2 linked regions of the Bombyx mori genome follow. The protein of the gene in region 1 interacts with the protein of each later gene in a pairwise test. Links are inferred from orthologs where the notes say so. Each region holds a gene or a part of one and is shown in the gene's direction. Other genes may lie near its edges.

The links.
Region 2: the proteins of chromatin assembly factor 1 p55 subunit (region 1) and histone acetyltransferase type B catalytic subunit interact in a two-hybrid assay, tested with the Caenorhabditis elegans proteins (4 studies listed by BioGRID). The link is inferred for Bombyx mori from reciprocal best matches to the Caenorhabditis elegans genes lin-53 and hat-1.

Annotation. Positions count from the first base shown.
Region 1 is NC_085109.1:4,078,361-4,082,379, forward strand, and holds the start of chromatin assembly factor 1 p55 subunit, read left to right. Parts: upstream 1-1,219; 5' UTR 1,220-1,390; coding exon 1,391-1,412; intron 1,413-1,537; coding exon 1,538-1,715; intron 1,716-1,932; coding exon 1,933-2,048; intron 2,049-3,120; coding exon 3,121-3,325; intron 3,326-3,666; coding exon 3,667-3,741; intron 3,742-4,019. UniProt on the Caenorhabditis elegans protein: Core histone-binding subunit that may target chromatin assembly factors, chromatin remodeling factors and histone deacetylases to their histone substrates in a manner that is regulated by nucleosomal DNA.
Region 2 is NC_085113.1:6,756,224-6,763,939, forward strand, and holds the start of histone acetyltransferase type B catalytic subunit, read left to right. Parts: upstream 1-3,280; 5' UTR 3,281-3,598; coding exon 3,599-3,659; intron 3,660-3,849; coding exon 3,850-4,019; intron 4,020-4,602; coding exon 4,603-4,774; intron 4,775-5,515; coding exon 5,516-5,672; intron 5,673-6,828; coding exon 6,829-6,994; intron 6,995-7,361; coding exon 7,362-7,510; intron 7,511-7,620; coding exon 7,621-7,716. Other genes in the region: E3 ubiquitin-protein ligase KCMF1, read right to left, coding at 846-1,013, 1,187-1,202.

The DNA of each region.
Region 1 (4,019 bases):
CAACTTGGTTTGACGTACATATGCTGGAGGACCTCCAGAAATGAGAAAATATTGAATAGAAACAACAAAGAGGACGGACAAAAAAAGATAATTAGTGCGAAAGTGATATCGGTGCCTACAGACATTAAAACGTGAATATCGCGACTCATCGAGTGGGCTCTTACACTCTTCAGCCTAGAAATAAATAGAAACAGAACCAGCGCTATGGCCTAGCATTGTGCGTTCTCATCAGTAAATAAGCATTGCCGATCGCATTACGCTTATAATATATTATCCCTGTTTTCCAATTACAGCACAAGAGCGTATTCTGCAGCATAATGCTCAACGTTGAATATTCCAACTACAGCAACGCTTCGCACAATCGAGCACTCTCAAAAGTACTGCTCTCGCGTGACACTCGCAATCACTCGCAATCGATATAGACTCAGTGACAGAAAATTGACAAGTGTTTTTTCTTTAGGTTGGCATTGTTCGAAATTTTATATAAATTATCGTTGAGCATTATGCCGCATAATGCGCTCTTGTGCTGTAATTGGAAAACAGGGTATAATATGTGATTGCCATAGTCCGACTAAGGCCTAAGCCTCTAATCGCATACGTGACCTTCGAGAAAAGATCAAATAGATGGTGCTTTTCTTAACTGAAATAAAACAACCAATTACGATACTACTAGACAGGATTGTAATGATTATTATTTAAAAAAATATTCAGTTAAGAAAGGTATTTATCGACTATATATCTCCTTCCTGATTTTCACTTTTAGAAAGATTCATTTCAAATACATACAGAAATAATAGATAAAAATTATTCTTATTTATATTATGTACGCTTTTTGCATTACAAAGATTTAAAATGAACATCTACATAATTTGTAAGCTTATAGACACCATTGATACAACATTAGCCTAGTTATACAAAAACGTAGCCGTCTAGCCCAGTTTTACATATTTCGAGATCAAGTCCATGTCTTTTTAAGTAGAAAGTGAAATGATATTGTCATATCACTTTTACCTGAAAATCATATTTTTATAAAATCAATTTTAACATTCACAAAGTAATAGGAATATACGAAGACTAATAGTTTAAGCAGCTATGATAGAAAGAAGAAAAAGAAGGCTAGAAGAACATAGCTAGTGAACAATTCCAAATTCATTTAATATTTCATCTGACGATGCTAATCTATGGCTGCATCATGAGAATGGCGAGGTCGAATTTACTTAGATTGGTGATCTGTGGCATAGATAATACACTTAATTTTTGAGATCTGTGGTCGAAACAGGAAACAGAAACAGCAACGCTAAGAATTTTGTTTGGCGCCTTTACCGGGCCGGCCTGAGTTATCAGATAATTACGTTGAAGTTCCATAAAAATAAATTCTGTTACATACAAAATGGGAGATAAAGGAGACGGAGGTAAATGATCAAGTATTGGAAGTGGTTATGTTTCTTTGTGTTTTTTAATCTGCCGACTCTGGAATGACAGCTAACAGTTTTTGGTTATCACACTTCGCCTATCAGTAATGTTTTAAAAATTGTAGAAACCTTCGATGACGCGGTTGAAGAGAGAGTAATCAACGAAGAATATAAAATATGGAAGAAAAATACACCATTTCTGTACGACTTGGTGATGACCCATGCACTGGAGTGGCCCTCGCTCACTGCCCAGTGGCTCCCCGATGTCACCAGGCCAGACGGAAAGGATTATTCCGTACACAGGTAAATTTAAATGCATATGGGGATATTAATACTTGAAACAAACTCTTTTAACAAACTTAACGTTTTTACAACTAAAATGCAATATTTAAATCTATAAAAATTCTATTTAATAATTTACTTCATACTATATCAATATAAATAAATTTAGACCATTATCATTGTAATAAGTAATTACTATGAATAGGCCGAAATGTTACATTTACATATTTTTGTGCAGACTTATCTTAGGAACACACACATCTGATGAACAGAATCACTTGCTGATCGCCAGTGTGCAACTACCTAATGAAGATGCACAATTTGATGCCAGCCATTATGATAATGATAAAGGAGGTTTGTGATGAGCATGACCTAAATTTCTAACTTAGACTTTAACTAGGTATTAGCACATAAAAAGCGAATTGAAAAAAATCAAACTGACATAAATTGAAATTGAAGGTAGTTGGAACTTTTGTTACGTTCCACAGAATTAACACAGGAGATTCATTCTCAATTTATATGTCGTGAGTTATTTAAAAACTATAAAGCACTTATGCATATTTTTATATATTTTTTAAGTTTTTAATGAACACTATGTGTGTCTTCTAGGTTGTTGAGGGACCAATACAGCGTGTATTTTCGAAAAAAATTGGCACCCGCCTTTCATATTTCATTAATGTAGTACCATTTATTTATCTGAATACACAGAGTTCAACAAAGACTTTGACTTGTGAACTGGATGTGAGGCATATTGACAGATAATTATTACCATCTTGCAATTTTTCTGTCATGAAATAGCCATTTACTTAAAGCTCACTTCATGTCCCAAGATCAGTGGTGGTAATCACATTGTGATGTCAGTAAGTTCTAATAACACACCACAGCTTGGGCCGTAAACTACTCCAAGTTTGTGCATTAATAAGGGCATATAAAACATTAAACAAAAGTCATCCTGTTTTACTACTTATCTAGAGGGCTATATGCTTGTTCACCCTGTTCAATAATTCAAGTTATAATAAACAATGATGAATTCAATAGCTTTTACTCCTGTGAAAAAAGAGAATTAAAAAAAATATAACAATTATTTATGAAAAGTGCAGCTAAAGTATATATATATGTTTTAAATTTGTGAATTGGAGATACCTTATGGCAAATGCTAATTTAAAGGCAAATATAATCCATAAACATTATTTATTTCATTTTCTTCTCATGCTTATAGAATTAGGATATAGTTCACCATATAGGACCATATGTGAATTCTGACTATGGTTAATTGCGACATTTACTAATTGTAAAATAAAATAAAACCGTTGAATATGGTAGGATGTGCCAGACCAGACACACATTACACTTTTAACAACATAGAAAAATAAATACTATTTGGCCATATCCATAATTTTATTCATTGTATTCTTTATTACTTCAGAATTTGGAGGCTTTGGTTCTGTATCAGGCAAGATTGATATAGAAATTAAGATCAACCATGAAGGTGAAGTGAACAGGGCCCGCTACATGCCCCAGAATCCTTGCGTCATCGCAACGAAGACGCCGTCGTCTGATGTACTTGTCTTTGATTATACAAAGCACCCCTCCAAACCTGAGCCTTCTGGAGAGTGCCATCCTGATCTAAGGTAAACACTGAATCCGCGATAATAAACAAACAACACAAAACTATTCAGCTCATTTATACTGTAGCTGTCAGTTTTGTACTCATCACCACTTGAAATGCTTACCAGAGTTTTTCTGTCTTTAAATGCTTCTCATGATTAACATCACAAAGTGGACCATTAATTCATTTGCTATTTAGTGCAATAAAAAACAAAATTGTTGAAGCCTTGACATTACAATTTAAACATCAATATCAAGCATATTAGATCGGTTCACAAGCTCTTTTTTATATATTTGTCTTTTTCTTAGGTACCTTGAAAAAAGTAATCTATTAATGTCTATTCAATATCATTTTATATTACAGATTGCGTGGTCATCAAAAAGAAGGTTATGGCTTGTCATGGAATCCAAACCTTAATGGATATCTTTTATCAGCCAGGTTTGTAGCCTAATATTTTATATAAAACTAGCGACCTGCCCTCACTTCGCTTCGGAAACTGTAATTTATTATTGATTTCTTTACTATTTAATGGATGTTATTATACATATAAACCTTCTTCTTCAATCACTCTATTTATTAAAAAAAAACCGCATCAAAATTCGTTGCGTAGTTTTAAATATTTAAGCATATATAGGGACAGAGATAGCGACTTTGGTTTATACTATGTAGTGATTATACATTTTGAATTCCAGTCTAAGTCTGAACATGTAATAGTT
Region 2 (7,716 bases), on another chromosome or scaffold:
TAATACAATGACTGATATATTAAGTATTGCTAAGAAAACTTTATTCCGTGACTGGAGCATAGAATGGGAATCTTTTAAGTATAAGTATTCTATAATCCAACCAACAATACCCCATTCCCCATGGTTTTTTAAGTACAGAAATCTTAACAAAAGTACCACTAGCATTCTTATCAGAATGCGACTGGGTCACGTTTGCTCTCCTGTCCAGCTGTTCAAATTCAAAGTAAGAAATACAGCAATATGCGACTGTGGATCCGAGGAAGGTACTGTGGATCATATATTCTTCAACTGCATTCTTAACAATAATTGTGATTCCCTATATACTTTATTAAAAAACATAATCCCCTTCCCCATCAACATGAACTTCCTATTAACTTTCCCCAGTAAAAAGGTAGTCTACTCGCTTGCATCTTTCATAGACACTAATAATATAAAATTGTAGTTCCTACTAACTGTTAAATACAAAAATTGTAAAACTAAATAGGTAACTCTATTTTCAGTTCATGCCTGTAAATGTTATGTAAATGTCCTAGCATAATTATGTTGATACCTCCACTACCCGACGTTGGCAAAATTGTACTTTAATCTAAGTAACAAAAGCCAGAAAGAAAAGAAAAAAAAAAAAAAAAAAGCTTTGCTGAATTCTAGAAATCTTATATTTAATTTATTTTAGGTCATGCATATCATTTTACAATTTTTAGTCTTTATAATATAGAAATCACATCACAGTATTTACTATTTATTTTGAGATCACTATATAAGTACTGTTTTATTTGGAGCTGGGTATAATATATTCTGTTTTGTTAAGGGACGTATTATGTTAAATACAAGATGGTTTGTCTTACCAAAATCACTTCTAGAAAGAATGCACTGCATGGGGTGTTCGGTAGTGTGTTGATTCGTGGTAGCGCCGGACTCGTAGCAAGTAGCGCACAAGTCGTAATCGATGCAAATCAAACATTTGTATCGTCGTCCTCTAAAGTTATTTTTCAAACAAGAATCACAGCTGACTCCTGAAATTTGTCAATAAATACAATGACGACATAACTGTTCTTTGTTCTTCAGTAAAATATATTTTTTCCGCTTAGTAACTATGTGTTCAACTATTTTATCATGTCTGTTCTTAAATTTCGCAATAAAATTCAGTCACAAAAGCATCTACCAAATTTTGATTATCATTACCCACCTTCATGGCGATTCATTTTCGCCAGAGAACGTCGTTGAAAAAACACTTGTTGGCACCAAAAAGGCCTCTATTTTGGGAGCTATTAAATTTACTAATGTAAAATAGGCAGCACAACAAATTATTATTAACAAAATACAAGGTTTATAACAAAAATTTCCAAGCAAACCTAACCCAACCAGGTCATAATGACGTCACATGAATGAATGACAAATACATTTTACACAGATGAAACAAATTCATTTTGCAAAGACCACAATGTACATAGTTTTCTTTTCACAAAATGAATTTTACCAAGACCAATACTATTTAGGGATCTTAAGAAACAACAAAGTAGCAAATGCTTATTATATTTTTAAGTGACCATTGAAGCTCCAACACTCATCTGGTACAAGACCGAGCTATCACAATCCGATCACCCCAATCTCGATGCGGACGCTTTCGATCACTATGTATGCGGTGAAACAACACATCTTAAGATCTTAAGATCTAACACAGGTCACTCACATGCGCACGAATACGCAAACCCGCAAGTGTAGGACGACATTTGCGAATGATTATGCAAAGTTTTCGCTGCATTCGTGGTTTTCCAAGCTGTGTCGCTTTTTTACCAGACATCAAAGCGCGCGAACCTCGAGCCTTCGCGTAGTCTCCCACACATTCGCTTGTCCAGTTGCGCCGACGATTGCGAAGGTAACGAACGTATCGCCATTTTCATAGTTCGTGACGTATACTGTGTAGCGTATCTTCATCAAAAGAAATCCCATAAAAACAGCATGGCTGTTAATGATGTCTGGGAAAGAATTCAAAAATATTTTTCTTTTCAATGTTCTATTGACGAATTAAAAATGAAGAGAAATTCATGAGACAATCGTAAACAAGTGTAGGAGGAAGCGCAAACGGGTTCGCAAATTGAGTATGCGAACCCATTTGCACAGCCGCTAGGTTTGCGAATGAATGTTTGACGGCCGGTTACCTATTTCAAACCTCTATACTTTTCTTTTGTTGCCATAATATTAAAAATGTTTGCTTTCAACAAATGTTTTTATTAGTTTTATTAAAGTTTATACTCCAAACTATTGCTATTAACTCAAAGAGCAAAGAAGACAAAATTGCCACCACCGTCAAGTGTGTCAATGTCGTGTTGAAGTTCTTTTTTCCTTCTTAATTAATTTGTAGGATTAAGAATTATTTTGGCGGGAACACGAGGAGACAAGTTTATGTATTGTTTTATTTATTTATTTAATATATTTTGTACGCACAGCTGTTAGAAAAAACACCACAATAAGGATACAGAGTACAAGGGCACTACTTATTTCATGTTGAAATCTCTTCCAGTAGGCCCGCAAAAGGAAAGAAGAATTACTTTATTATATTTTACTTTGTTAATGTAATGTTTCTTCTCCAAAAAGTCCACTGGAAATTCTAATGAGATTATATTTCAATCCATATCATCTCGGTTTCATCCCAATTTATTAATGTATCTTATTAAACAACTTCATTTCTTTCGTTCCATAACATTTTTCATAAAACATAATATTTATTTAAAAGATTAAGCTGTATGATGCTTGATACGTAAGCGTTTTCAGTTGGAAAAACGAAACACTAGGTACTTTAAGCTATGGTGTTTTTAAACTGGCTATAGCTTTGAGGACTTTTTGGCGGGAACGCGAGGAGTGAAGATGTGTGATTTGTTTTATTTTGTCTATTTAGTGTTTCTTCAGCTTTAAATGTGTAATAACGATGGTTTATTGACTGTTCTGTGTATCTGTGAAAGTGCGCAAATGTGGGAAAATGAAACAAATCCGCTGGACGTAAGTTCTCGGGATCCTCTAAAAAGTCCACTGAAAAAATCTCAGTAAAGGACCACCATTTTACTGAGATTATATTTCATTACATATCATCTCATTTCATTTAATTTCATCACAGTTGATTAATGTCTCAAATTAATCATCTTCATTTCATTTCATTTATCTCCATATTATCATTTTTCATAAAAATAAGAATATAAATTAAAATAGGACACGACTTAAAGGTCTTAGTTACCAGGTCATAAAATCCCTTAAAAAAAAAGCTATAGCTTTGAAGTTTCCAAGTTTGTTGTGTGTATTATCTATGATCACATTATTCACTCTGCTAGTTCAAATTTCATTCAGTCAGGCAGATAGATTTTGGAGAATATTTAGGAAAACCATTCTAAAGTAAACATATCCAAGGAAACGGAATAGAAGCTAAAAAAATTTGCTTCCTACTATTCATGAAGATTTTCTGCAGTGAGAAGTGTAAAGCAAAATTTGCTTTTTATCGGTGTTGAAATGTAAATTACACACCTCCATTTTTGCAATATTAAAAAAATATTGACAATAAAATTTACGCGGGAATTGCTCCGGCAAAATCCGTTGTTAATTTTACAAAATGACTGATGCTTTGTGCCACTTAGTTGTTGATGGGAACGACGTTTTGGAATTCAAACTAGGTAAGCACGCTGTCTGGATAACAGTTAATTTTTGAAAAGAAAATGAAATCTATAATTGTATTTGAACACATTGTAGACATTACAATAGGTTTTATTGATTCCCAAAAAAAGTCCCAACGATCCCGGTTTCCATTGCTATTTAAATTTATATGCAGATGTAGATAAAGGTTGTGATCTTTATTTTTTTCAGTGAGGTCGGTAGATGATCTCGAAAATGAAGAGACAAGCTTTGGTCCCGACATGTGTCACCAGGTATTTGGAGAGAATGAGAATATATTTGGATATACAGATCTACACATTAAATTATATTACAGTGCAGGAAGTCTTCAAACATATCTAGGAATTGATTACACTGATAAGGTATTATTATTTATTTCTATATTATTTTTAAATTTTATTTGAAACTAGCGACCCACCCTCGCTTCGCTTCGGAATCATTAAATTTTATTATTGATAGCAGAGTCCCGCGATGTTACATGCGATTATTGTTGTACCGCGGGTGAGGCCGCGGGGCGAATCTAGTCTAAAAAAGTAGCCTACGTTACTCCTTAAATCATCAGCTACCTATTAGTGGAGTCTCATCAAAATCGGTCCAGCCGTTCCAGAGATTAGCCGGAACAAACAAACAGAAAGACCGACAAAAATTGTAAAAAATGTTATTTTGGTGTATGTACCGTATATACATGGTAGATGCACAATACAATGGTTTATTAGATATGCATGTAATAAAAAGCAGTTATTTCGATACTACAAACAGACACTAATTTTATTTATATGTATAGATATAAACCAAATATCTATTCATAGCCATTTGATTTACGACCAACTTTAAAAAAAAAATTGTATTCTATTTATTGAAGAGCTTTAAAAAAATCTAAAGATTTAGTACTTTTTCGTGTACAAATAACACAATTTTTTTCTGTACTATAATTATAATTAATAGATCGAACCAAGTAAGTCAGAAGGAATGAAAGCAGATGATGTTGAGGGTGCTCTGACTAAAGTTATAGCACCAGGGTATATCACTAATTTGGATCACTTTGTGTCACAATTAAAGAAAGATGAGTCATTCACACCACATGGAAAAATGCTGCATGCATTCAATGTAACCCCTTGTAAGTTTTTTTTTTCATTTCCTGGGTTTTTATTATTAAAACAGAAAATAAATATTCATAAAATTAAGTTTCCCAGAAATATTTTTATTCTGGTCTCACATATTAAACTAACATTCCATAAATACTATGGATAAGAATGATGATATCATGCACAACTATTTCTGGATTTCGGTATGGTACCTGTACATGTAAAAGTGAACTCTGAATAATGAGATTAAATTAAAAACCTTAAACAACCATCATTTGTGTAGTAGTTGCTTTTAAATGTATAGTAATGTAAAATATGTCCTTGATTTGTGGAATTCTCTAGACAAGTCAGATGGGTAGATGATAAGCTACCATTAGTATATCAACAGAACTTAAGCCACAGATACATATACTATATGTTACAGTGTTTTAGTTGCATTTTTTTCTGTAACTCGGGCTCCTGCAGTTCCTTGTGAACTGTATTATAGGACCCCAGAAGCCTCTTTGCACATTAATATATTATAATAATTTACTATTGGATACAGTTTGATACATATATTTTGTATATAAGTCAAGGGTCTCAATTGTCATAACAAGCTGTGCATAAAATGTAACCTCTGTAATTAAAAATATTAAATGAAAATAATACCCAAGTTCATTTGTTAAACGACATAAAATTTATCAATTTGATCTAATGGTCATTGTGTAAACTATTAAAATATTCATATTTTCTGATTTAAAATTTAATTTTTCAAATTGAATCTGAATTTACAGTTGATGGAGAGAGCAGATCATTTGAAGTATATTATTGTGAGACTTCAACTCAAGGTTTTCTAGAATACCATCAACGTTTACAAACATTTCTCCTGTGGTATGTAGATGCAGCATCATTCATAGATGTTGATGATGATCAGTGGACATTCTTCACAGTGTAAGTTGTTATTGCATGTGTATTTATAGTATTAGATGCTTTAGTCTGTATTATTAAAACTAGAAGATATGTCTGGTGCTAGAAATGTAAGCTGCCGAAAATTCAATAGGTTGTTACTTTTATTACCATTAGTATAAATAAAATTATAAATATAAATAACAGCAAGCACCAGTCACCATTCAGTTTGAACAAGTTGAAAGAGTTCAACTAACACCTTAAACAATAGACATAACCTACTGAGTGTCTCGCTGGATCTTCTCAGTCGGTCGCGATTCTGTTTTGACGCTAGATTCTGCAAACTACTGATTTTGCTAGAGCTAGTATTAGCAAATCCTTCCAGTTTGAGCTCTGTGAATTCATCCAACAGTCCATGTGTAGTTGAAATAGTGTGTCAGATTATGAATGATTAGGTTGGGGAAAGAATATTAAGAAATCTATAATTACTAAAGAAAATTTATTTAATTCTCTTAGAAGCAATTAAAAATACTAGACCTATATTTTTAGCACCAACTTACATGGTTTATTTAATCCATCCTGAAGAATGAGGCTCACGACAAGGATAACCTTATTTTCTCACTTATAAAAATATGTTTCATGGTATTTGTTGCTGTAATAAACAAGTGATAGAGAGTTCTGTTCTGGGCTTTTTTTATTTTTGGGCCTGCGTCGAGTCTCCTTGGATATCCAAAGTGAGCAGGCCTCTTGTTAAGTAGTAGTACCAAACCCATCCACTAAAGAACTCTCCTGTACATTCGCCTGAGATTGTGAGCCCTGCGGACGGAATCCGAGAGAGATAGAAGAGGCAATTGCGGTCAACATTGTAAATAGGCACGCAGCCACCCCGAGGACTCCTGACCGGACGCGGACGATGATGATGATCGCAAAAGCGCATTGCCGTCACCCACGGAGTGCACTGGTGCGGTCACCAACTTAGTGGGTTGTGTACATCGATTAGTTCGGTTGTCGAACTCTTCCTCGTAATTGAGGAGTTCGACGAGAACGGTGACTGGTGCTTGAAAAGCCTAAAAGCACTAAGTGTCTATACAAGGGATCCGAAAAGACATGTTTCGAACGATGGCGGCTTCAGTTGCCCCGCGCCTGCACAGTATTATAGTTATTAAAATGAGATCATTCAGAACAGGTTTTTATGTTCCAGTTTTGAGAAATATCAAACGAGTGAAGGCAGTGTTCGATACGCTACAGCTGCCTATGCAACTGTATACAGATATTATGCCTATCCAAACCATCAACGTCCACGAATCTCACAAGTTCTTACATTACCGCCCTTCAGAAAACTCGGAATTTGTGCACAAATGTTACAGGTACTGACTATAGATTGATTACTACTGTTGGTAATACCATTATGAAAATTACTCACCTATTGCGATAGAAAGTGATATTTATAATTCATGAACAACGATAATCGTTTTTGTAAAACATAGAAAAGCTCAGCCTTCTTCCAATTTTGCTTCATAAAAGATATGACACTATGTTGTGATTATAGTCACCTACAAATTGAATGTTGAATAATGCATATGACATTATTATGTGATCAGTTAATCACCCTGGTCCATACATATTATGTAGATTACGTTTACCTTATTCAGTTAGTTGAGTTAAATTTTTGATTGCTTAAATGGAAAATTTAACCAATAAAATGTTACTAGTATTTTCAATCTGTATTTTTAGGCCGTATACTCTCACTTTATAATAATACCTGAAGTGATAGATCTCACAGTTGAAGACCCCTCACCTGACTTTCAAAGGGTTAGAGATTATGTTGATGCTAAGAACTGTGAAAGATTACCGGCATTTCAGCCAGCTGCCTTATACTTAGGGTATGTGTTGCTTTTTCTATTTGTAATGTTGTATTAATTGATTCTAAAATTGATCAATGTAAACTTCTTTTGCATATCGAAATAATCCAATTATGTAATGTTTCTTGAAGGTTCTCAGCTGAAATGGCGATCCAGGCGCGAAATAAATTTAAAATAAACAAAAAACAAGCAAGGAGAATTTATGAAATATTGCGTTTGAAGAATAC